Linked DNA regions of Callithrix jacchus. The protein of the gene in region 3 binds, or shares a complex with, the protein of the main gene of each other region. Links are inferred from orthologs where the notes say so. Each region holds a gene or a part of one and is shown on either strand. Other genes may lie near its edges.

What was found. The genes of interacting proteins can lie anywhere in the genome.
Region 1: EXOSC2 (region 3) and EXOSC7 share a complex: the UniProt entries of both Homo sapiens proteins name them as parts of the RNA exosome core complex. The link is inferred for Callithrix jacchus from reciprocal best matches to the Homo sapiens genes EXOSC2 and EXOSC7.
Region 2: EXOSC2 (region 3) and EXOSC4 share a complex: the UniProt entries of both Homo sapiens proteins name them as parts of the RNA exosome core complex. The link is inferred for Callithrix jacchus from reciprocal best matches to the Homo sapiens genes EXOSC2 and EXOSC4.
Region 4: EXOSC2 (region 3) and EXOSC9 share a complex: the UniProt entries of both Homo sapiens proteins name them as parts of the RNA exosome core complex. The link is inferred for Callithrix jacchus from reciprocal best matches to the Homo sapiens genes EXOSC2 and EXOSC9.

The regions. Positions count from the first base shown.
Region 1 is NC_133516.1:27,719,442-27,725,130, reverse strand, and holds the start of EXOSC7 (exosome complex component RRP42), read right to left. Parts: upstream 3,901-5,689; 5' UTR 3,867-3,900; coding exon 3,810-3,866; intron 1-3,809. UniProt on the Homo sapiens protein: Non-catalytic component of the RNA exosome complex which has 3'->5' exoribonuclease activity and participates in a multitude of cellular RNA processing and degradation events.
Region 2 is NC_133517.1:53,541,192-53,547,112, forward strand, and holds EXOSC4 (exosome complex component RRP41), read right to left. Parts: upstream 3,901-5,921; 5' UTR 3,786-3,900; coding exon 3,615-3,785; intron 2,606-3,614; coding exon 2,399-2,605; intron 2,307-2,398; coding exon 1,980-2,306; coding exon of another isoform or gene 1,947-1,979; exon of another isoform or gene 1,904-1,946; intron 550-1,903; coding exon 412-549; 3' UTR 253-411; downstream 1-252. UniProt on the Homo sapiens protein: Non-catalytic component of the RNA exosome complex which has 3'->5' exoribonuclease activity and participates in a multitude of cellular RNA processing and degradation events.
Region 3 is NC_133502.1:179,361,148-179,366,336, forward strand, and holds part of EXOSC2 (exosome complex component RRP4), read left to right. Parts: coding exon 1-38; intron 39-1,437; coding exon 1,438-1,506; intron 1,507-2,729; coding exon 2,730-2,906; intron 2,907-3,612; coding exon 3,613-3,741; intron 3,742-4,247; coding exon 4,248-4,328; 3' UTR 4,329-5,189. UniProt on the Homo sapiens protein: Non-catalytic component of the RNA exosome complex which has 3'->5' exoribonuclease activity and participates in a multitude of cellular RNA processing and degradation events.
Region 4 is NC_133504.1:75,882,621-75,888,592, reverse strand, and holds the start of EXOSC9 (exosome complex component RRP45), read left to right. Parts: upstream 1-2,072; 5' UTR 2,073-2,171; coding exon 2,172-2,237; intron 2,238-2,553; coding exon 2,554-2,648; intron 2,649-3,379; coding exon 3,380-3,499; intron 3,500-3,633; coding exon 3,634-3,736; intron 3,737-5,312; coding exon 5,313-5,450; intron 5,451-5,972. UniProt on the Homo sapiens protein: Non-catalytic component of the RNA exosome complex which has 3'->5' exoribonuclease activity and participates in a multitude of cellular RNA processing and degradation events.

The sequences.
Region 1 (5,689 bases), on a different chromosome or scaffold from region 3:
TGGTTGAATTTGCCCAATAGAACATACCAGATCAGAGGGTGTCCCTCACCCCCAAGGGGCCACATTTCTGATAGGGCCTGCATCTATCCAAGACTATGACTTCTGTTAGACAGCTTTCCTCCACAGTTCCGCTATCACTGAAATATGGTAATACTGTTTCCTCCCGGGACCCCGCTGGACTAAGGGCAGTAGCCACTCCCAGTAGTTGTTTGTCTTCAGGCTCCTCAACATCTCTTACTGCTTCCCTGAAACCTACCCATACTACTCTACAGTCCCATCATAAAAGTCTCCTGAACTATCTGAAGTGGACTCATTTTCTGCCCAAAACTAAAATGATCCACCCTACCTTCTCATAAACTAATTTCTCCCAAATGTGACACAACCTCTAATGGCCATGTTTTAGCCTAATTATTCTGTCCATCCTTTCCCACCACCTCCAAAAAGAACCAGAGTTTCTTTCTCTTGGAAACATGAGTTCAGAACTGAACTAGAAGGAATGGTCTCTTTTACAGAAGAGCTGGTAAGGAACCACATTTTTTCTACCACTGGCCCAAGAAGCAGAAAACCAATCTGCGGCGAGACCAAAACAAAGCAAAGTGGGGGGAAAAAAAGCAGAGATGAGCAAGAGAGAGCCTTGCTCATCCAAGTGCCTGTGGATTCCTGGAGAAACACTCGCAGTCTTGTAATCCACACTATTTTGCTTGAGCCAGTGTGTTGGTTACCATTACTAGCAACTGAATCATGCTTTGGCCACCTCTGCAAGCTGATCTTCCACCATTTCCCCCAACCCACCCCTTAGGCTCCACACATCCCCCACCTGAGGACTTACAGACTCACCATCCCTTCCTTCTGGAACACTCATCCCTACTTAATTATCGGTCATGCTGAGAGCTCAGTTAAAATGCTATTTCCTTCGGGAAGCCTCCTCTGACCTCCCAGTCTAGATCGTATCCCTGTGTTTTCCTTCATAGCACTCAGTACAATTTTATACATAAACACTCAAGTACATTAATAATTTCTGCATGTTCCTTCCTAGTCCCTCAGCCCAGCTCCATTCTGTGTTGAATAAATGCATACTGAGTCCTGAAGATACAGAGGGAAAATCCTTGATACGGATTTAGGGGAGCAATTCCACCTCCTTAGGGAAGCCTTCAGAGCATTATAAGTCCCTGGAATTCTTTTTTATTTATTTTTTAAAAATAAATTTTATTTCTTTAGAGATGGGGTCTTACTGTGTTGCCCAGACTGGTCTCAAACTCCTAGGCTCAAGCAATCCTCCCTCCCATCTCAGCCTCCCAAAGTGCTGGGATTACAGGCATGAGCCACCATGCCCAGCCCCTGGTATACTTTAACTTCTTCAACCTCCACTAACTATACCACTTCCTTGGCAGAGATCTTATTTTACCTTAGTCTTTATTTTATTCACTTTTACTCTCTTTGTCTCCCTCCTATCTTTCATTGATTTCACAACCATGTTTTAGCATCCCTACTGTTTCCCACATAACATGCCAGAGACTAGATAGATGATGTAAATAAAATTAACTAACTTTGCCCAAATTAGATCCTAAGCATCTCAAGGGCCAGAAATGAGGCTTACACCCTTTTCTTCCTTGACAGCACCCAGCAGATAACAGGTGTGTTATAAATATAAATGATTTTCTGACTCAATATAAAGGAATAAGGCAGGATTTATGACTATGGTGGAACTCTGCTTCTGGATAATGAACTGCCATGGGAATTAAGGGTGCTGGGAAGGCATCTCTAACCTTGAGGTTACAGATATATCCATGCCTCAGTGCCACTTTCAGAGATGAAATGTGAGAGAAAACAGGACACATGACAGAGTCAGTATATCATGGTAAGCTGCAGTAACAAAGAAAGAAAACCAAAGGTTTTTAAATTTAGAGAAAAATGGTTACCCTTAATGTGTCCCTAAAAAGCATACTTTGAGGATAAAAATCAACTGAACAAAGTGTATATAAAAATATAGCAGAGAGGGCCAGATGCGGTGACTCACGCCTGTAATCCCAGCACTTTGGGAGGCCAAGGCGGGTGGATCACGAGGTCAAGAGATCGAGACCATCCTGGTCAACTTGGTGAAACCCCGTTTCTCCTAAAAATACAAAAAATTAGCTGGGCATGGTGGTGCGTGCCTGTAATCCCAGCTACTCAGGAGGCTGAGGCAGGAGAATTGCCTGAACCCAGGAGGCGGAGCTTGCGGTGAGCCGAGATCCCGCCATTGCACTCCAGCCTGGGTAACAAAAGCGAAACTCCATCTCAAAAAAAAAAAAAAAAAAAAAAATATATATATATATATATATATATATATATATATATCAGGGAAAGACACATCTAATGGCTTTTGGGCATTTTTATGCCCCCTCACACACAAATAACATACAAGTTCCCCAGAATACACACATATATCCCACTACTCCTAATCCTGAATTATAACTAAAATATGCAACTATGAGTTCTGACTTTATTAACCAGGCTTAATATACAACCTGTTGGCCAAATATTGGCATTTCTTCATCTATAGAGGGCCCAGAAGATAACAGCAGGTGACAATTTTTAAATGGACATGGCCTTAACTCACGTTGTGGAACTTTAATGACAGCTGGCCGCTTCAATTTAATGGCTACATCCCAGGACCACTAACTTTACTGAGAGAGGAAAACCATGAGGAGGGGCTGTGACCAGAACTCTGCCAAGGGTGGGCTGAAGAACTCTGATAGGAGGACGACACCGTGGGTTAACAAGTGGAGACAGAGTCAGAGGAAGATACGGGGTAGCTCGTTACCACGTTCAACATTTTTCAATCCTCGTTCTGGAGTGGTCAAAACCAGGGGTTTAATATAGAGCACAGAGGACGTTAGGTTTTAGCTGCCTAGGGAATTAGTTCTCCACTGGCAAAATGGAAACAGCACTTATGATACCAGCTGCCTAGCCGCTGTCTAAAAACCCTTCCCCTTTATTGGCAAGGCAATTTGTATTTTCTTTTCTTTCTTTCTTTTCTGAGACAAGAGTCTCGCTGTGTTGCCCAGGCTGGAGTGCAGTGGCACGAGCTTGGCTCATTGCAATCTCTGCTTCAGCCTCCCGAGTAGCGGGGACTACAGGGGTCTGCCACCACGCCTGGCTAAGTTTTGTATTTTTTAGTAGAGACGGGGGTTTCACTATGCGGCCAGGCTGGTCTTGAACTGCTGACGTGGTGATCCGCCCGCCTCGGCCTCCCAAAGTGCCGGTATTACAGACCTGAGCCAATGCTTCTGGCCTGCTTTTCCTCACCTCGTAGTTGGGAGGCGCATGCGAGCTGAACCCACTTTGAAATTACAAACTGCCATACAAAAACCCTTCTCCCTTTATTTGTACGGCAATTTGCATTTTGCCGTGCGTTCACCTCGCATGCGCTTCCCAACCACGAGGTGAGGAAAGGCAGGCCAGAAGCCTACCTCCAAACTCCCATTTCCTAGAAAAGAAAACTGAGGCTCGGACCAGTTAAGTGCGCGAAAGCCGAAAGGATGGCCATGGGCGATGCTCTCTCTCTAAGAAAATACCTCCGGGACTAACGCTTCCTGCCCGGGTTCGGAATGTTACAGACCCGCAAAACTGCAAATGCGCTAACAGTCTTAAAAACGTCCGCGTTGTCAGCTCTGCAAAGCAAACGCCGCCCGCACAGCCGTTTAATCACAGGTAAACGGAGAGTCGCTGCAGCTCGGCTGCCTCTTGCTTGGCGAACCCAGGGTAGGCCGCGACCCGCAGGGCTAGGCTGAACCCGGCGGCCGACCCAACGCCGCTGCTGTAGCTACCTGTACGCCGTGCATGATGTACACCTTCTCCGCCTCACTCAGCGCCACTGACGCCATGCTGCCGAGCTGCCCCGCGAGCCAAACGTCATCTGCACGCGTCGTCTTCGCTGGACCACTCCCCCACGCCCCACCCGCCGCGTCCGCGCGTCATCAACCTGCGCGGCGGCCGCCGCCACTGCCGGGAGCTCGATGGGCTTCTCCTGCGCGCCGCCCGGTGTCTGGCCGAGTCCAGGGAACCGCGGCGCCTCGTTTCAAGGAGTCATCGCCGCAGCCGGAGGCCCGGTCCCGGGTTGGGGACTGCAGGGGAAGGCAGCGGCGGGAGCGCCCCCGGGGGCCTGGGACTGGGGAACTGCCTCCGGCTTCACGGTCAGTTGGGAGGGGAAACTGGGGTTGGGGTGAAGAAGCTGGGGTGAGGAGAGCCACACGGGCCGGGGGACTTGCAGTGGGAGAGGTGTGCGGCGCAGTTGCTCAGAGCTGGAGTTGACCTAGGAGCTCGTGTGTGTCTCGTGTGTGTGTGTGTGTGTGTGTGTGAGAGAGAGAGAGAGAGAGAGAGAGAGACAGACAGACCCCGACTAAGGAAGGGCGGACGTCGTGATTGGCCTGGGGGTGGCGTTGCCCCGCTCTTCTCCCCTCCACTTCTTTAGTCCCTAGGGAGGCTGAAGAGGAGAGGCGATGCAGCCCTCTGTAGGTAGTTCTCGGTAGGAAGGGTCCGGGCTGGGAGTGGGGAACACTAGACCTAAGGCGTCCCCACCCCTCCACCCAGGAATATCTCTCGCTGACTCGCTCACTCTGACCGAACGCTGACCCAGTACCTTGCTGGGACCTCTTGCTTCGGATGCTTATCAGCATAGTCCCAAAGACTAGGGGGAGGAGGCGCTTGGTAACCGGCGCTAGCTGGGTGCGCAGTGCCCGGACGTCCCTGACGCTTCCTAGCGGGAACTGAAAACCCCGGCTTGATGGAAGTGGTAGCTGGGAGCTGGGAGCAGTTGCCCGTAAAAAAGCCAACCCCATGCAATGGCCGAGTGGGAGTATAGGCATTGGATGCCCGGAGAGGGTATCTGCAAGGTCAAGGTTCCTTTTGGGGTCACCAGAGGAACTCATTTAGGCGCGGCGGAAAAAGTATGGTGCAAGTTTTAAAGGAGCCGTGTTGGTAAATGGGAGAAAGTTAACCCGAATTAGTTGAAACGAGGGCAAGTTGAAGCAAGTCTCATGACTTTCCTGATGTTCCATTTATGAGGACCCTCCCTGTTCTCAAAAGTGAAAGTAACCCTAATTAGCTTGATCAGCCAAAAAAAAAAAGGTTGGTATTTCTCAGATAATGGCTTCAAATACAGTAACTATTGGGAGCCTACTATAGATAGGCTTTGTGCTACCTTTGGAACACAAGGCAAGTAAAACACACTATGCCCAGAGAAGTTCCCTGGCAGTGGTTCAGGCTCCGGGGCCAAAATAACCATAGATCAGGGTGGTTAGAGCTATGATGGTGGCATCAGTGGGCACAGTGGGATTGGGAGGTCGTCTGAAGTTACAGAGAGGAAGTGCTTGCTTACATTCTTAATGATTAAATTGCTGAACTCCAAAATTGATGATCAGTTCTTAGTAGACTGGACATTAGATGTTTCTTATGTCTCTACATAGTTCTCTACAGGGGCACCTAAAAGGAAGACATCTTGCAGGATTGGACTTTGCCTTCCTGGGAAACTGGGAGAGGTGAAGCTGGAAGGGCTTCCACCCTAATGAGGGCACAGGTGCCCCACCTGTTGTGGCACACAGATGTGTTTGTGTGTGGTTGGACAGCTGGGTTCTGTGTGAGGAGCTCTGTGTGATAAGATAACATGAGATTGCTGATGTTAGAAATGGTATTTTCTAGATGTGCTAGA
Region 2 (5,921 bases), on a different chromosome or scaffold from region 3:
CCCGCACTTCCGGTCCCAGCGACGCCCGCGGCGGCGCGCATGCCCAGAGCACAGGGCGCGCCCCCAACGCTCTACGGCCGGCGCGCAAGCCCAGAGCAGCGGTCGGCCGGAGCATTGGCTGTGCTGGTGAAGGCGGGTTTCCGAGTTCGCTGGGCGCTGCCTCCAGGAGAGTCGGACCGGGAGTGCACCGACCCGGAGGCAGGCGGGTGGCCCTACGGCCGTGAAGAGCAGAGATGCCCGAGCTGGTCAGGGGACGGCTGGAAGGCCCGCAGGAGTCAGAGGCGATGAGCCGGGCAGGGGGTGGAAGGCCGGATGCCAAGCATGTTAGTGACTCAGGACGTCCCAGTGGAGTCACAGCGTGAGCCCAGCACCAAGGTTTCGAGTCAGATGACTGCAAAGATGCTGATGGCACTACTGGAGCTGGGGTGTGCGCAGCATAAAGTGGGGAGCATACCATCCCTGTCTGTGCCAGGAGACCCTTGGAATATTAGGGGAGAAGCAGCCCCAGGGTCCAGACTGCAGGAGCGGGTAGTCAGGGCTTGGCCAGATCTGTGGGTCAGAGGTGGATGAAGGCGGAGTTTGCTCAAGAAGAGGGTGCAGTTTGGGAAGCTGAGGTGGGAGGATCCCTTGAGACCAGCCTGGACAACAAAGTGAGACCTAGTCTCTACAAAAAAGCTTTTAAAACTAGCCAGGTGGAGTGGGGCATGCCTCTAGTCTCAGCTCAGTTACTCAGGAGGCTAAAGGGGGAGGATTGCTTGAGCCTGGGAGGTCGAGGCTGTAGTGAGCCGTGATCACACCACTGCACTCCAGCCTGAGTGACAGACCAAGACCATGTCTCAACAAACAAAAATGTGGTGGGCAGAAAGAGTCAAAGCTGAAGACTCCATATGAGAACAGGTTTTTTTGTGTGTGTGTAAGACAAAGTCTTGCTCTGTCACCCAGGCTGGAGTCCAGTGGTGCAACCTCTGGTGTGGGGTTTGGCCTCCCAGTTCAAGCAATTCTCTTGCCTCAGGCTCCCAAGTACCTGGGGCTACAGGTGCCCACTATCACACTAATTTTTATATCTTTGGTAGAGATGGGGTTTCACCATGTTGGCTAGGCTGGTCTCGAACTCCTGACCTCTACTGATCCATGAGAACACGTTTTTTGTACTTTTATTTTTTTAGATGGAGTCTTGCCCTATTGCCCAGGCTGGAGTGCAGTGGCACGATCTCGGCTCACTGCAACCTCCACTTCCCAGGTTCAAGAGATTTTCCTGCCTCTGCCTCCCAAGTAGCTGGGATTATACAGGTGTGTGTTACCACCTCAGCTAATTTTTGTATTTGCAGTAGAGATGGGATTTTGCCATGTTGGCCAGGCTAGTCTCAAATTCCTGACCTGAAGCAATCCATCTGCCTCAGCTTCCCAAAATTCTGGGATTACAGGTGTAAGCCACTATGCCTGGCTTTTGTACTTTTAGAGTCCAGGGTAAGCAGCAGGAAAAGCCCAAGGGGTTCCAAGCCATAGTCCACAGGCTGTGGGACATGGCTACCCACATCTCTAGGGTGGGTACCCAGAGCCAGCTGAGTTTTTCCTCAGCCCTTTGCTCAGGGCTCCCGATGTGCTGGAGTAAGAATAGATTCCTCAGTCTAATGGCCTGGCTCATCTTGCCAGGCCCTGCCTCTTACTCAGCTGCCTTGAGTCCTTACTGGGACATGCTGCTTTTTCCACCCAGGAACTATCTCTCCTCAACCCCCTAATCCACTGTTCTCTTCAGGGTTTCAATCAGGATATACAGAGATAGACAGTTCTCTATATAAGAGGGTCCCTGGTCATTCCCAGTAGCCAGTACCAGGCCAGGCTCTGCAGGGCTTCACATAGCTCCAAAGTGCTGTTGGGTGATCAAAGTACAGTGAGGAGTGTGTGGGCGGAGGAGGGTTTTATTCTGGACATGGGTGGCAGGGTGGTCAATCCCCCAGCAAGATAGAGGCCTCACGCACATGCTGCCGGACAACTCGGTCCAAGAGGATGTGCACATCTTGAGCAGCCTGGGCAGCAGCCTCCAACACCTGCTCCAGGTGGTCCTCATGCAGCCGGGCATCCATCTCAAGCAGCGCAATCTGGCCTGAAGCTGGCAGCAGGGCCAGGGCCAGCTGGGGGCCACCAGCTGCTTCCTCCACATGGCTGAGGTCTGCCAGGGCTGTGCCGTCCACGAAGCCAGCTGAGCACGCACACACAAAGTCTCTCATGGGTATGCCAGCATCCAGCACTGCCAGCGTGGCTGCATTCACACACGCTGCGTAAGTCCCACCATCTGCCTGTAGCACCTGCGAGGACCCCAGGGTGTCAGTTCATCAGACTCCCTCCTCAATCCCATCACACTCTTCCCTCCCTGGATTGCAGGCTGCAGCCGGCTCACCTGCACATAGATATCAATCTGGGAGCGTGGGTGCAGCTGTGTGAGGATGGCTGCTTCGAAAGTCTGGCGGAGTTGTAGGCCCATCTCACAGGACTTACGGTCCCCATGTGGCCGTCGCTTGCGCTCACCGGTGCTGAAGGTCGCTGAACTATATTGACAGTTCACTAGGGCCCTGTCTGGCAGGGCTCGAGCCCGCGAGCCCCGGATCTGGAAGAAGATGGACACATGAGCCAGGCCCACTTCTTCCAGCTCACACTCCACTGTACTCTGGGGGTCTGCCTCTCCTTTCACTTTCAAGGCCTCAGCAAGAGGCAACTACTTTACCTCCAAAACAAAGCCCCCTGTTTTGCTCGTTTTTCCTCCTGGCATGCATCTTTTAGTTGGCTGCTTTGTGTCCATCCTTGTCCCATTCCCTTCCAGCCCAAGTTTACAAACATCAAGGCTGATTCTATCTCACGTACACACTCAAATCCTAATTAACTTACGAAGGCGTTACATTACATGTGAAATAAAATCCCAAATCCTTTCCCTGGTCTACAAAATCCCAAGTCCTCACCTCCCCGGAAACACTCTACTTTAATTTGGAGTTACCCCCTTTCCCCACCAGCAGTCTTTCTGCTCTGCCTAAGTGCTATGCTTGTTTTCACCCCCGTGGTCTTCGCCCTCGTGCTTCCCTGCGCCTAGAAAGCAGAGCTCCCACAGCCATGCGCTAAGCACATTTTCAATACCTTTGCTGGCCAGGCACTGTTACAGCGCTGGGAACCGCAGTGAAACCATAGAGTTTCATGTAAAGTTCCTGTCTTTAGGAAGCTTATGTTCCAGCAAGGAAACAAAGGTGAACGTGCTTAAGCAAAACAGGCGTTTGAGATCGTAGGTGCACAAAAGACAAGGAAGGGTTTATTGTAGGGAGGGGAAGTACCGCGTGGATAAGGTTGTCTGGGGAGGAGTGACGTCGGAGTAGAGCTGAGAGGTGACGGGGCGAGTGGGGGAGCTGAAGAGCCGCAAAGAGAAGGGAGGGCGCAGGGACAAGCCGATGAGAAAGGCAGGACCACCGCTCAGTGCACTAAGGACTTGCGTTTACTCCGAGTGACATGCGGTGCTGAGCATCGGCTGTGTGGTCGGAGGCGCGCCGGCCGTTGCCCCTCAAGTCCCTGAGCCTGTGCTCAGCCCGGCTGCCCTGCGGCTCCGCGACCGCACGATTTCCCCTCCCACTCGCCTCGTGCGGGCCGTAGACCACCGCCAGCGCCTTGGTGTTGCCCTGCTCGATGTAGGCCGAGCCGTCAGCCTGCGCGAACACGCCCATCCGCGCCTGGATTTTGCGCAGCTCCCCGGCGCGCCGCCCGTCCACCCGGTAGCCCTGGTCCGATAAGAGCTCCAGCCCCGCCATTCCGCCCGGCCGCCAACTCCCTCTCGGCTTAGTTCTCTGAGCCGCTGGAGAACTGGAGAACTAGAGCTCCAGGCGGCTACGACTTCCCCGGATCTACGGTTTCCGGTGGTCCTCTGTCACTTCCGGGTCCGCGGAACTGCAACTCCCCGCGGCCCCGACTTCCCCGGATCTATGGTTTTCGGCGGTCCGTTGCCACTTCTGGTCCCGGGAAACTACAGCTAACCGCCGCCCCGAGGTCCCCGGATCTAAGATTTCCGGCGGTCCGTTGCCACTTCCGGTCCCGGGAAACTACAGCTACCCGCGGCCCCGACCTCCCAGGATCTACGGTTTTCGGCGGTCCGGCTCTGCTTCTGTCTCCGGGGAGCTGCAGCGGCTCTGTCGGGGAAGCGGGGGCTAGGCCCGCGGCCGTTCCCGGAGCTGTGCCACGGGTGCCAAGAAGTGGGCGCCCGCTGAAGGAGGAATTCCGAAGCCACGCCCTCGGGACCAATGGTGCCTGCATTATTCAGCCTTCCCCGCACTGTAAGTGTGAAAGTGGAAGGATGAACTTAGTGGTTGCAGCATTGACTGACAGGAGAAGAGAAGGCATTGAGGGGTCCTAGGAAGGTGACCGGGCTGGTGTCCCAGCATGGTCCACACCTGGCACCTCCATTCCTCCCTTGCCCTCCGTTACACCGAGCTCCCACACTGCAGTCAAGTGGGCCTCCCGTTTCCCTTTGAGGATGCTGATTCCTCATCCTTTCCAAAGAGGCGTTGTATGTCTGTTTATCTCTTGCCACCTAACCTCAGTGGCTTCGAATAACATGATTATTTTATGATGTTCTGCAGTCTGGTGTTACCTAGGCTCAGCTAGGTAGTTTGCATTTAGGATCTCTCCTGCAGTTCCTGCTAGATGGTGGCTGGGGCTGGAGCCATCCTCAAAGTTTTCTCCCTCATATCTTCGGTGACTGATGCTGGTGGCGGGCCAGGACCTCACGTGTGGCTGTTAGGCAGCACACCTACATGTGGCTTCTACATGCAACCGAGGCTTCCTTGCAGTATGGCAGTTGGGTTCCAAGGGTAGCCTTCCAAGACAACAAGGTGGGCGACGTGTGTGGTATTTTTATGACCTAGCTCAGAAGTCATATAGTGCCACTCTTGCCAGACTCTGGGGTCAAGTCAGTCAGACAAGTCTGCCCAGGCTTAAGGGATGGGGATCTATGACCGCCAAGGCAGGAGCGAAATACCTCAGCCTATTTCCATATAAATAATGAAGAAGAAAGTAACTAGAAATATAACCATAGTAGTTATTAGTTATTCATAGGTGATCTTAGTTATTTATAGGTGATCTTAATTCTTTTACTAATGCCTATCAGGTCGGAAGTGTGAACCTGGGGTGACATTGTGAAATGAATGACACTAAGGCAAGATGCTCTAAGCCCTCTGTCACGCCTAGGAAGGGCTGCTGGAGGGCACCTCGGCCGTGCGGCAGCTCCAGTGCTGTGAAAGCGCCCACTGTTTAGCCAGCTAGGGAAGGAGATGTCCAAGATGGCTGAGATGTCTCCTTCCTGGGGAAGTTAGGAGAAAACTCCACTTCTCCAAGCTCTTGTGGTAACGCCTGACAGTTGCCAGGAGGCCCACAGACATCAGGGGCTTAACTCTCTCTGTGTGATGCTGTGCTTCAGCGGTCACATACCAGGTCCACTCTCATGTTCTGCTTCTGCACCTGGCTTCTTTTTTTCTTAGGAAAGATAATCAGTAACAGTCATATAAATCTTAATGTTTTAGTTCTTTCTTGGTAAGTATGGAAAAGACGCTGATGAATTATGCTTCTTGCCTCACTTTGGGGGCCAGAAATTCCTGAGCCTCTACCTGAATGACACATGATGTACTTGACCCTATCACTGCCACGTACTATCCACCCTGCCCCCAGTCTCTGACCACCAAGGCCGCCACATCCTACCTACCTTGCCCCCAGATTTGCAACTCAATAAAAGTGAGAGTGTCCCGTCTGGCATTCGGGGCCACTGCTGGTCTCCACGACCTGGGTAGCAGTGGACCCCTGGGCCCAAACTCTCTTTTCTCTATCTCTGTGTCTTGTGTCTTTTATTTCTACAATTTCTTGTCTCCACACCAGCCAAGAGGGACTCACAGAACCCT
Region 3 (5,189 bases):
CAATGAGAGGTTTCCTACAAGAAGGCGACCTTATCAGTGTATCCTGCACTTTGCGCTCCGGCCTCTTGATGCTTTTCTGTGAGGCTAGGCAATGGGCCTTCCACTGTCTCTGACAGAGGAGCCATGTCATCCTTGGAGGGATCCGAGTCTTAGACCAAGTGTCGGGCTCTGCTGCCTCCTTTCTCAGCCTCCTTAACTCAGGCTGACTCCTCAGCTCTTGTTCAGACCAGCTGCTAAGTCTTTCCTTTGGGTCTTGTAACTCACGATGGCCCGTGCTTTAAGCCAGGCTTTTGTTAATGATGTTAACTTTTATCCTAGGGAGTGGAAAAGGTGTTGTTCACATCAAGGTATTAATGGCAGGCCGGGTGTGGTGGCTTATGCCTGTAATCCCAGTGCTTTGGACGGCCAAGGAGGGAGGATTGCCTGAACCTAGGAGTTCAAGACCAGCCTGGGCAACATAGCAAGACCCCCATGTCTACACAAAAATAAATTAGCCGGACGTGGTGGCATGTGCCTGTAGTCCTAGCTATTCAGGAGGCTGGGTCCAGAGGGTTGCTTGAGCCCAGGAGCTCAGGGCTGCAGTGGGCTATAATCACACCACTGCATTCCAGCCTGGGTGACAGCAATACTGTCTCTTTTATTTTTATTTATTTATTTATTTATTTATTTTGAGACAGAGTCTAGCTCTGTTGCCCATCATGGCTCACTGCAACCTCCGCCTCCTGGGTTCAAGTAATTCTCCTGTCTCAGCCTTTCAAGTAGCTGGGATTACAGGTGTGTACAATGCTTAGCTAATTTTGGTATTTTTAGTAGAGATGGGGTTTCACCATGTTGGCCAGGCTGCTTTTGAACTCCTGACAGGTGATCTGTCTGCCTTGGCCTCCCAAAGTGCTGGGATTATAGGCATGAGCCACCACACCCGGCCTTTGTCTCTTGTTTTTTTTTTTGAGATGGAGTTTCACTCTTGTTACCCAGGCTGGAGTGTAATGGCGCAATCTCGGCTCACCGCAACCTCCGCCTCCTAGGTTCAGTCAATTCTCCTGCCTCAGCCTCCTGAGTAGCTGGGATTACAGGCACCTGCCACCAAGCCCAGCTAATTTTTTTGTATTTTTAGTAGAGACGAGGTTTCACCATGTTGACCAGGATGGTCTCCATCTCTTGACCTCGTGATCCACCCGCCTCGGCCTCCCATAGTACTGGGATTACAGGCTTGAGCCACCGTGCCCGGCCTGTCTCTGTTTCTTTTTAAAAAAGGTATTCATGAAAACTAAGGGGAGAGGTAACGTCACAGTGATATTCTCTGGGTCTGTCTAAGATTGTTGAGCTGGACCATTGCAGATGGGAGGAAAAGATGGAGGTGTGGGGCCAAGGAGCAGAGGCTGCTGGGGACAGGACAGTGTGGCCGGGGCTGCTGTGTTCCTTTATCACCCTGGCCAGGCTGAGGTCCAGGCAGTGTTCTCTGACGGAGCTGTCTCTCTGCACACGAGGAGCCTGAAATATGGAAAAGTAAGTCAGGCTTTTGATGTTCCTGTTTGCTGACCAAGACTCCAAGGCTATTTCTGAATCCCCATAGCTCTCTGGAATTCTGGCCTAAAGAGACCCAGTAGCTAAGCATTAATAGAGGCTGGCATCCCACAAACTGATCGTGTTCCTTGAACATAACAGCAGGGAGGTCAGGGTGCACAGGGTGATGGGTCAGTAGCCTTGTAAAGGACAAGTTTTTTTTTTTTTTGGACAAGTTTTATCCTTTTTCTCCAAGTAGACTGATTCTTCTAGCAGAAGAGCCCCTCCAGCTGTGGGCTGGGAGGCTCAGCTGTCTCTCTTCCTCCAGGGGGTGCTGCAGCTCAGCACTGGGGCTGGGGCTGAGGCCATCCTGGGAACAAACGGAGGCTGGGCCTGATGAAACAGGCCTTAGACAAACGTCCAGTCAGTACAGTGGATGTTATTGCTGGCAAAGCTTGCTCTGTCATCTGAGCCTCTAAATGGAATTTCACTGCTTTTCTTGTATGAGGTTGCATTATTGAAGCTATTTATTACTGTAAGGAGAGCATACTTCCTAAAACAAATGAGGATTTACTAGTCTCTTAGCTTTATCTGGGTGAATGTTTTTGTTTTCTGAGTGGAACAAAAACCTCTTCCCTTAATGGAGTGGCTGCAGCCGGTCACGTTCATGTACATGGAGTAGGTGGAGGACTGCTGCAGTATGCTGACTTTCACAGCCCTGGGTCCTACGGGCTCTCCCTGGCAGGACGTGGACTTGGAGCTGGCCTGCCAGGACCAGACATGGATTTGAACCCAGCTCCACCCATCTCCTCTCCTACCCAGAGGCGCACATCTCACAGGCATGATGAGTGTTTGGGGTACAGGTGTAAGCTAGAGTCATGGAACAATGCAGTGCCCCTGGGCCAGTAGGACGCTCAAGCTCACTTCCTCATTGGCTTCCACTTCTCTAATGTCTGGCACATGAGCTCTGGCTTAGAGTGCAAGGAAGGCTGCAAAGGGAAATGACAGAGAAGAGATTGAAAGGCACCTTCTGTTGGGATGTGTGAATAACCTGTGAGTCCTGAAGTGTTCTCTGCAAGAATGTGTACTCTCTCTGTGTGCGTAGGCGACAATTTCAGGCAGAAACGACACCATGTGGAATATACTTAGGGTGTGTATTCTGTAGTCTCCTTGTCATTCATCCCGCTGATCCTGCGGTGACCTAGCTTTGCAATGTGTTTCTTTAGCTAGGTCAGGGGGTTTTGGTCCAGGTTTCCCCCTCCCTGGTGAAACGGCAGAAGACCCACTTTCATGACTTGCCGTGTGGTGCCTCAGTGATTCTGGGCAACAATGGCTTCATCTGGATTTACCCAACACCTGAGCACAAAGAAGAGGAAGCAGGGGGCTTCGCGGCAAACCTAGAGGTGAGCAAACCTTGGCCGCCGTCGGTGGGAGGGGAGGCTTGGTCTTGGCTATGTTTTTGTGGCCGGCAGAGTTGCTTGTTTTTGACTATGTTATTGCTGTAGGCTGAGTCACTTTGACTTTCCATCAAGGTGTATTTCCATCAAGGTGAGTTCATCTAAAAGGATGAACTCAGTGAATGGTTTCAACTTTGTTGGCAGAGATGGTGAAGTTGCAAGGTAATAGCCAGAGAGCCTCTGAAGAAGTGAAGAAGCCTTTTTTTTTTTTTTTGAGACGGACTCTCGCTTTGTCCCCTAGGCTGGGGTGCAATGGCACAATCTCAGCTCACTGAAGCCTCTGCCTCCAGGTTCAAGTGATTCTCCTCCTTCAGCCTTCTGAGTAGCTGGGATTACAGGCATGCACCACCATGCTTGGCTAATTTTTGTATTTTTAGTAGAGATAGGGTTTCACCATGTTGGTCAGGCTGGTCCCAAACTCCTGACCTTGTGATCTGCCCACCTCGGCCTCTCGAAGTGCTGGGATTACAGGGGTGAGTCACTGCACACGGTCCCATTCTTTTTAATCTCCCTTGGACTTAACCGGTGGTTGGTGTGGAGTTCCAGAGTGATGTGGGAGTCATCAGTGATTTATTTGTGATTTTCTTTGGCTGGTCACTTGTTTAGGTCCTGTCTATATTTCCCTTTCCTCCTCTTCTGCATCCCCTTATAGCCTGTCTCTCTTGCTGATCGGGAGGTGATTTCCCGGCTTCGGAACTGCATTGTCTCGCTGGTAACTCAAAGGATGATGCTGTACGACACCAGCATCCTGTACTGCTATGAAGCATCCCTTCCACACCAGGTATTCTCCCCAGGGCTTTTTGCTTCTTCACTGATCAGCAAGCTGCTCTGTTGTTTACTCAGAGACAATCTGCACATCTCCCCCATACTTTCCCAATATCCATATCCCAATATCCGGTATGGACTGGCCTGGAAACAGCCTTAATGAGTGTCTGCTAGATCTTTCGCTGAGACACTTGCAATCTTCTCAATGTCTAGTGTCAATCTAAGGATTTGGTCGGGGATGGAGGTGTCAGGTGGGACTAGTTTATGAGAGCAGCCCTCATCCCACATTTCAGCCATCTCTTAGATGAATGTCAGAATATTTTTGTTCTTGTCGGCTGTATCTCAAAATCTTGCTGGTTTATTAGGCTGCTTCTAGCAGATCATATCTTGTAACGCTTAGTCTCTGAGACATGAAAGGGATACAGAAGGTTTATGTCAACGGCTTAATGTATGTTTGGATTGGCTTGGTGGTCTGTTGATGGGTGGATTCTTTTCTGAACAAATGCCTTTTCCTTTTTTCAGATCAAAGACATCTTAAAGCCAGAAATAATGGAGGAGATTGTGATGGAGACACGCCAGAGGCTTTTAGAGCAGGAGGGATAAGGAGGTGCTCCAGAAGGACAGGACTGTGGACCTTGCAGGAGTGAAGACGGTGATGTGTGGTCCCCATATGTGGCTCTGCGAAGACTTGAGAGGTCATCACTTTGTCTGCATTGACAGCCCTGTGGCTGCCTCCAGCTTGCAGGCCTGCTTTCTCCTGTCCTGACGCCAACCCTGGGTGGCAGGTGAACAATGCTCCCTTGGTTAGCTGGCTGAGTCCCAGCATTAGGGGCTAGTTTTAGGTCTTCCATAGTGCACAGTGTTCCAGCCGAATGGACTCCCATCCTGGATAATATGGGGAATCCTTTGTCTTCCACTCACGTCATTTGCAAGGCACAGTGCCCCATAAAATTGCCCCAGTAGAAACATGGCATCCCTGACCCCTAGATGGTCTGTTTTGGTTTCCATTCCTATATCCTTTAAATGACTGAGAATGCAGTTGGAAGAATAAAGTTAACCAAGCAGGCCAGCCGCAGTGGCTCACGCCTGTGATCCTGACACTTCGGGAAGCCGAGGCAGGTGGATCACGAGGTCAGGAGTTTTGAGACCAGCCTGGCCAAAATGGTGAAACTCCGTCTCTAATAAAAATACAATATTTAGCCAGGTGTGGTGGTGGGTAACTGTATTCCCAGCTACCCAGGAGGCTGAGGCAGGAGAATTGCTTGAACCCTGGAGGCGGAGGTTGCAGAGCCGAGATCGTGCAACTGTACAACCTGGGCAACAGAGCGAGACTCTGTCTCAAAAAAAAAAAAAAAAAAAAAAAAAAAAAAAAAAACAAAAACAAAACCAAGCAGCCTTTGCTTCATTGGAATCTGATTTTCTGTTGCATATTCCTTCTGGCCATAGATGCAATTATGTCTACAC
Region 4 (5,972 bases), on a different chromosome or scaffold from region 3:
TGTTTTACGATGTTATGCATATTAAGTAGAGGTGGGTCATACATCTTTGGATTAACTCGAAAATAAAATGGCAAAAACAGGAGTGTTAAAATTACAATATAAAAGTGAAAGTAGAAAAAGAACAGTGGAAATTCAACAAAAGTGGAAGGAAAGCAAAGTAATCAAGCAGCAGTCTCAGAAAAGCAATCTGTCATGCTGAGTTTGGGCAGTTTCATGGGAACCTTCGCCAAACCAACAAGGAAAGAGGAAACTAACATCTGAATAGCTACAATGTCCAAAATGTTTAATTAGATGCTTTCATTCAGACCACTTAACACAGCATAATTATTATCTCCAACCTGAAGATACAGAACCCCAAAATCAGAAAGATTATTTAGCTTACTCCAAGTCCATTTGAGCTGAAGTTTATCTGAAGTCAAAGTCCATTCTCTTTCCACTACCAAGCTGCCTTGCAGGAAATAACAGACTATTTCAATAAAGTTCTATTTCATCACTGAAGGGAAAATTTATCAAACTGCCACTGAAAGAACCCAAGGATTTAAATGAAGAATTTATCAATCAGGAGTTTTGGTGTGGAACTGCACTAAAAAAATTGTTAAAGAATTTAAGTGGTTTGTACACTGTAATCTTGACGATTCTGAAAATTAATCATTTCTGTCTACTTTCCTCCTTCTTCACAATTTCTATCTCCAGACCATGTGGAGCCCGCATCCCATCTCATTTTTGCATGTGTTACTCTTTCTGCTTGAAACACTTTTCCTCTCCTCCAGATGGCATCAAAGTTGCTCCTGCTTAACATCAAAGATTTATTTTACTTAAATGTCACCTCTACAAAGTCACCTGTTCCTGCAACTACCCCTATTAAGATAGCATTCCTATTCTCAGATAGACTTACCACTGTATGAAATTGTTCTATTTGGTTTAGGGTTTTTTTGTCTCTTCCAAAAAGAATATAAATTCCTTGACAGAAGGGATCTTGTCTACCTCATTTCTCCAGCACTCAAATTATTCCTGGACACAGTAGGCCCTCTTCAAGTATTTATTGAGTACATGGTAGTACAAAGTGAGACTAAGATGTATCACTGCTAAAAAAAAAAAAAAAAAAAAAAAAAATGTGAGAAGCTACAAAGAAGCCTAAGAGCCTGCATAGGAGTTACAGTGCCTACCACCCTCTAAAGCAAAAGGAAACAAAATAATAATATGCAAACACTTAAATAGTGCTTACTCCATGCCAGGCACTGTTCTAAGCGTTATATGTATATATAAAAACTCATTTTTATCCCTCATAATACACAGGTTTCTCATTCGCATTCCCCCACTTTTTTTTTTTTTTTTTGCAGGTGAGTAATGTGAAGCACATAGGTCAACTTGCCCAGGGTTATAGTAGTTAACAATAGACTTACAATTTGAACCCTGGCAAGGAACACTTATTAAAACTATTATTTGATACTGCCTCTCCAAAAAAGCTGAGTGGTTGGCAGCATGGCCCCGCTGTTTCTCTGTGACCGTAAAAATAAGTCTATCAACTTCAAATAGCTGGGGAGCGGATAATAAACGTATACTTAGTTTCGTCCACAGTAGCAGTAACGCCATTAGTTATTACGTGCAAACGTTCTCTATTCTCGTCAGCTTTTCAGATCCCACAAGATTTCACCTTTGGCAGCAATAACATCCCGTTTCACCATGTCAACTTTCTCCACCATCCCGTATACCCCCTCATTCCAGTGCTCGTTCATTGAATCTGCTCCGAACCCTGCATCTGCGGCTTTCTAGGGGCCAATGTTAATTCATCTGTAAAATAGCAATAGTATCTGTCTAGTCTCCACCCCGAGAAAGGACTGAGCGAAAGGTGGAGTGTGAGAGCGGTCTACTGATATTAATTTCTATCACTCTGATGGTTATTGTAAGTTTCCTTTTCTCCTCCGCACTTTATGAGCAAAGAAACGAAACTTCACGTTCAAAAACAGCCACCATAAGGGGCATTGGCTTGCCCTATTCACTGTTAAGAGTCTGCGCAGTAGCGAAGGCCAGAGCCCTTGCTTTCTCATTTTCCGCCGCCGCGCTTCGATGACGTAAATTTTCTGCGCCGCGGGACCGGCAGCGGCGCTTCAGGAGTCACGTTCCGTTTCCCCCGCGGATTTTAGTGCCAGTGGGACCCGGGACCCAACACCATGAAGGAAACGCCACTTTCAAACTGCGAGCGCCGCTTCCTACTCCGTGCCATCGAAGAGAAGAAGGTATGGTTTGGTCCCTGCAGAATTGGCGCGCTGCTTGGGCGCCAAGGTGTGAACTCATAACCCGGTCCGCCTGGGCCGGGGGAGCAACTAGGGGAGCGACCGGCGGGTGCACCCCAACCCTCAGGCTTTATTATTGTTTTTTCGACAGGTTCTTTTCAAGGCTCCCAGCAGTTGTCTGTGCTGTAGTTTCCGCTTTTCTATATGGGCGGGATGGTTAGGATTTCACTTTCCTCCAAGTGCTTAGCCCAGAGCCAGAAAAAGTAATTGCTTAAGAAATACTTGTTGAAGGAATAAATGAATGAATTTGTGCTTACAGCGGCTGGATGGCAGACAAACCTATGATTATCGGAACATCAGGATCTCATTTGGAACCGATTACGGATGTTGCATTGTGGAACTTGGAAAAACAAGGTAACAGAATTTAAATAATATATACATTCAAAAGGGAGAAGTTTTTAAAAAGACATATGTTTATAAACCAGCTAAGAAGTCTGGACGGTATCCTTTGTTGAGCTGACAAAAGTAAGTATTTTTTTATGCAAGATTTTTTGGTTTTGTGGTCACTATTGAAATTTGTAATCATAAACCTATTTTCTGTCACGTATCACATAGTTCTTTCTGACTTCTATACATCGTATAGACAACCAGTAGTGACCACACTGAATTTGTTTCTCATACTAGTATAGAGATCTTGAGCATCTTGTCATTAAGTATACATCCTGCTTTCCTCTTTTTCCTGAGTGACATGAAAATTAGGTTTTCTGATATTCATTTTAAAGTTGTGAGACTATTTGGTTAGATAATAGTGGTGAACGATGCCATGTGAAAACCCTTAAGAAATCTCAAGTTTTCATGCCATCTTGTATCAATAAATACTTGCTTTAGAGGTAAAGGTCATTGATTTTTAAAACAATCTGTGGAATAGTAAACATTGTAATAAGATTTTTTTTCTGTTGTGTTTTTAGGTGTATCAATTTATGTTTTATTTCTGTGTATATTATACTTTATATATAATTATATCTCCTATGATATATTTGGCTGAGTGTGATATTACTCAGTAAGGTTGAAACCTGCTGTTTCAGATTTTTTTTTTTTGGAAGGAAGATCTATTTAGTTAATACTTTGTTCCTTTATCTTTTCAGAGTTCTTGGACAGGTTTCCTGTGAACTTGTGGCTCCAAAACTCAATAGGGCAACAGAAGGTATTCTTTTTTTTAACCTTGAACTCTCTCAGATGGCCGCTCCAGCTTTTGAACCTGGCAGGTATTTAAATCTTTTTCTTAAGCTACTTTAGTCATAGGAGGACCTCACAGTAGTGACCTTTTTTTTTTTTTTTTTTTTTGAATACCTGGTGTTGTATTTCATGACATTAGCCCCGTCCTATTTTCCTATTATAGGCAGTCAGATCTCTTGGTGAAGTTGAATCGACTCTTGGAAAGATGTCTAAGAAATTCGAAGTGTATAGACACTGAATCTCTCTGTGTTGTTGCTGGCGAAAAGGTGGGGAATATGCCCAAATTTCTTTTTTTTTTTTAACCCCAAATCACATGGAATGGAGAATATGCCCAAAATTCTTAATCTTAGGATAAATATTGTTGATTCACGGATCCCAGTGTCTGTTTTTATTCTCAGAACTTTCGTTAACTCAGTTTTGTACTGGTTCACTTCACTTCAGATGTGATACCCTTAGAACTTTGTGCCATCTCTCTCTCTCTGAAGGGACAAAAAGCTTTATCTTTAAAGGGTAAAAATAGTAACTTAGATTTGTGTGTAAAATATTTTATTTAAAGAACTTGTGGCTTTTTCATATAATCTCTCATGTATTTTCTTATGTTACCTACATGAGTTCATAGAAGCAGGTAGTTTTCTTTTTTCATGCAGAACTCAAGAACAGATGAAATCACTCATTTTGATAGGTTTATCGATTTACACAGGGCCACATCATGTCAGTAGCAGGGATAACTTTGGAAATCTTAGTCCCAGTAAATTGTGCTGCATTCGGATATTAGAATTGTATTATTATTATTATTATTTTGAGACAGAGTCTCCCTCTGTTGCCCAGGCTGGACTGCAGTGGTGCAATCTCAGCTCACTGCAACCTCTGCCTCCCCTGTTCAAGCCTTCCGAGCAGCTGGAACTACAGGCACCTGCCACCACGTTCAGCTAATTTTTGTATTTTTAATGGAGACAGGGTTTCACCATGTTGGTCAGGCTGGTCTTGAACTCCAGACCTCAAGTGATCCACCTGCCTCAGCCTCCCAAAATGCTGAGATTACAGGGATGAGCCACTGTACCTGGCCAGAATTTGATTCTTGATTAAGGTATTTTGACAAGCTTTTTACTCCACAGAAATCATTTAGCTTTCCATATTCCATACCTAAGTATAATACTTCCTATTTGCATTACTTGTACCCTTATTAAAAATATCACAAAACCTAAAAGTTTAACTTTTAAAAATTTTTTATTTATTATTTTCTCTTAGGGATAGGGTGACACTCTTTTCCAGGCAGGAGTGCAGTGGTGTCATCATATCTCAATGTAACCTTAAACTCCTGGGCTCAAGGGATCCTCTTGCCTTAGCCTCCCAAATAGCTAGGACTACAGTGCATGCCATTTCACCTGGCTAATTAAAAAACATTTTTTTCTTTTTGTGGAAATAAGGTCTTGCTGTGTCGCCCAGGCAGGTCTCAAACTCCTAGGCTCAAGCAGTTCTCCCACCTTGGCCTCCTAAAGTGCTGGGATTATAGGTGTAAGCCACTGTGCCTGGCCTAGGGTTTGTGGTTTTTAAATTAACACACATGATAAAAGTATCATTAGATTTGAGGTTAGGAAAATCTTAGTATTAAGTGTTAGAGTGGTTCTGTTTATTTAAAGTATGTGTTTTACTGTTGTTAAATGACTCACACAGTATTTCAGATGTTTGACTTAAAATTTCTAAAATGTATTTTTTTGTTGACGAACTAGAAGGAGTAACTGCCTGTTTTAAAGCAAGAAAAAATTTGTACACGACGTTACTTTTCCTGATAAATAGCCACTCATTGTAATCAGGATTTATTTTTTTAAAATTCACTTTCAGGTTTGGCAAATACGTGTAGACCTACATTTATTAAATCATGATGGAAATATTATTGATGCTGCCAGCGTTGCTGCAATCGTGGCCTTATGTCACTTCCGAAGACCTGATGTCTCTGTCCAAGGAGATGAAGTAACACTGGTAAGCTCTTATGTGATCAGGATCCTTGATATGAATGAATGAGGATTGTCCTAAATGTGTAGGCAACTTGCTTTTAGTGAAGTTATGTTGCAAATGGCAACTTGGTTGGTTCTAAAATTTGTTCATAAGACTAAAACTGCACATCGTGAAAATTGCCCTTGAAATCTCTTACATTCCCTCTATTGAAACATCTGTCAGTAAGAACATACCCTAGCCTGGTTTTCCAGAATAGAATTGATGACTCTTGTGGATTGAGCATTATTAGATGAACTGGTTGACTTATATTTAGGGGCCGTATGTGTGAAAAATACATGACTCTCAGCACAGTGAGTTGCTTACCCTCCAAGAGGCATGCAGTAGCTGAAAAGGATTCAGGAATCAGCAGATTTATATTTGTCTCCAGGACTTTTGTTCATTAAGCAAAGAGATGACAAAAGTCCATCAGAAATAAATGGAGGACTTGTTAAAACATACTGCCAGACTCTACTCCTAAAGTAAAATAGGGCTAGGACTTAAGAATTT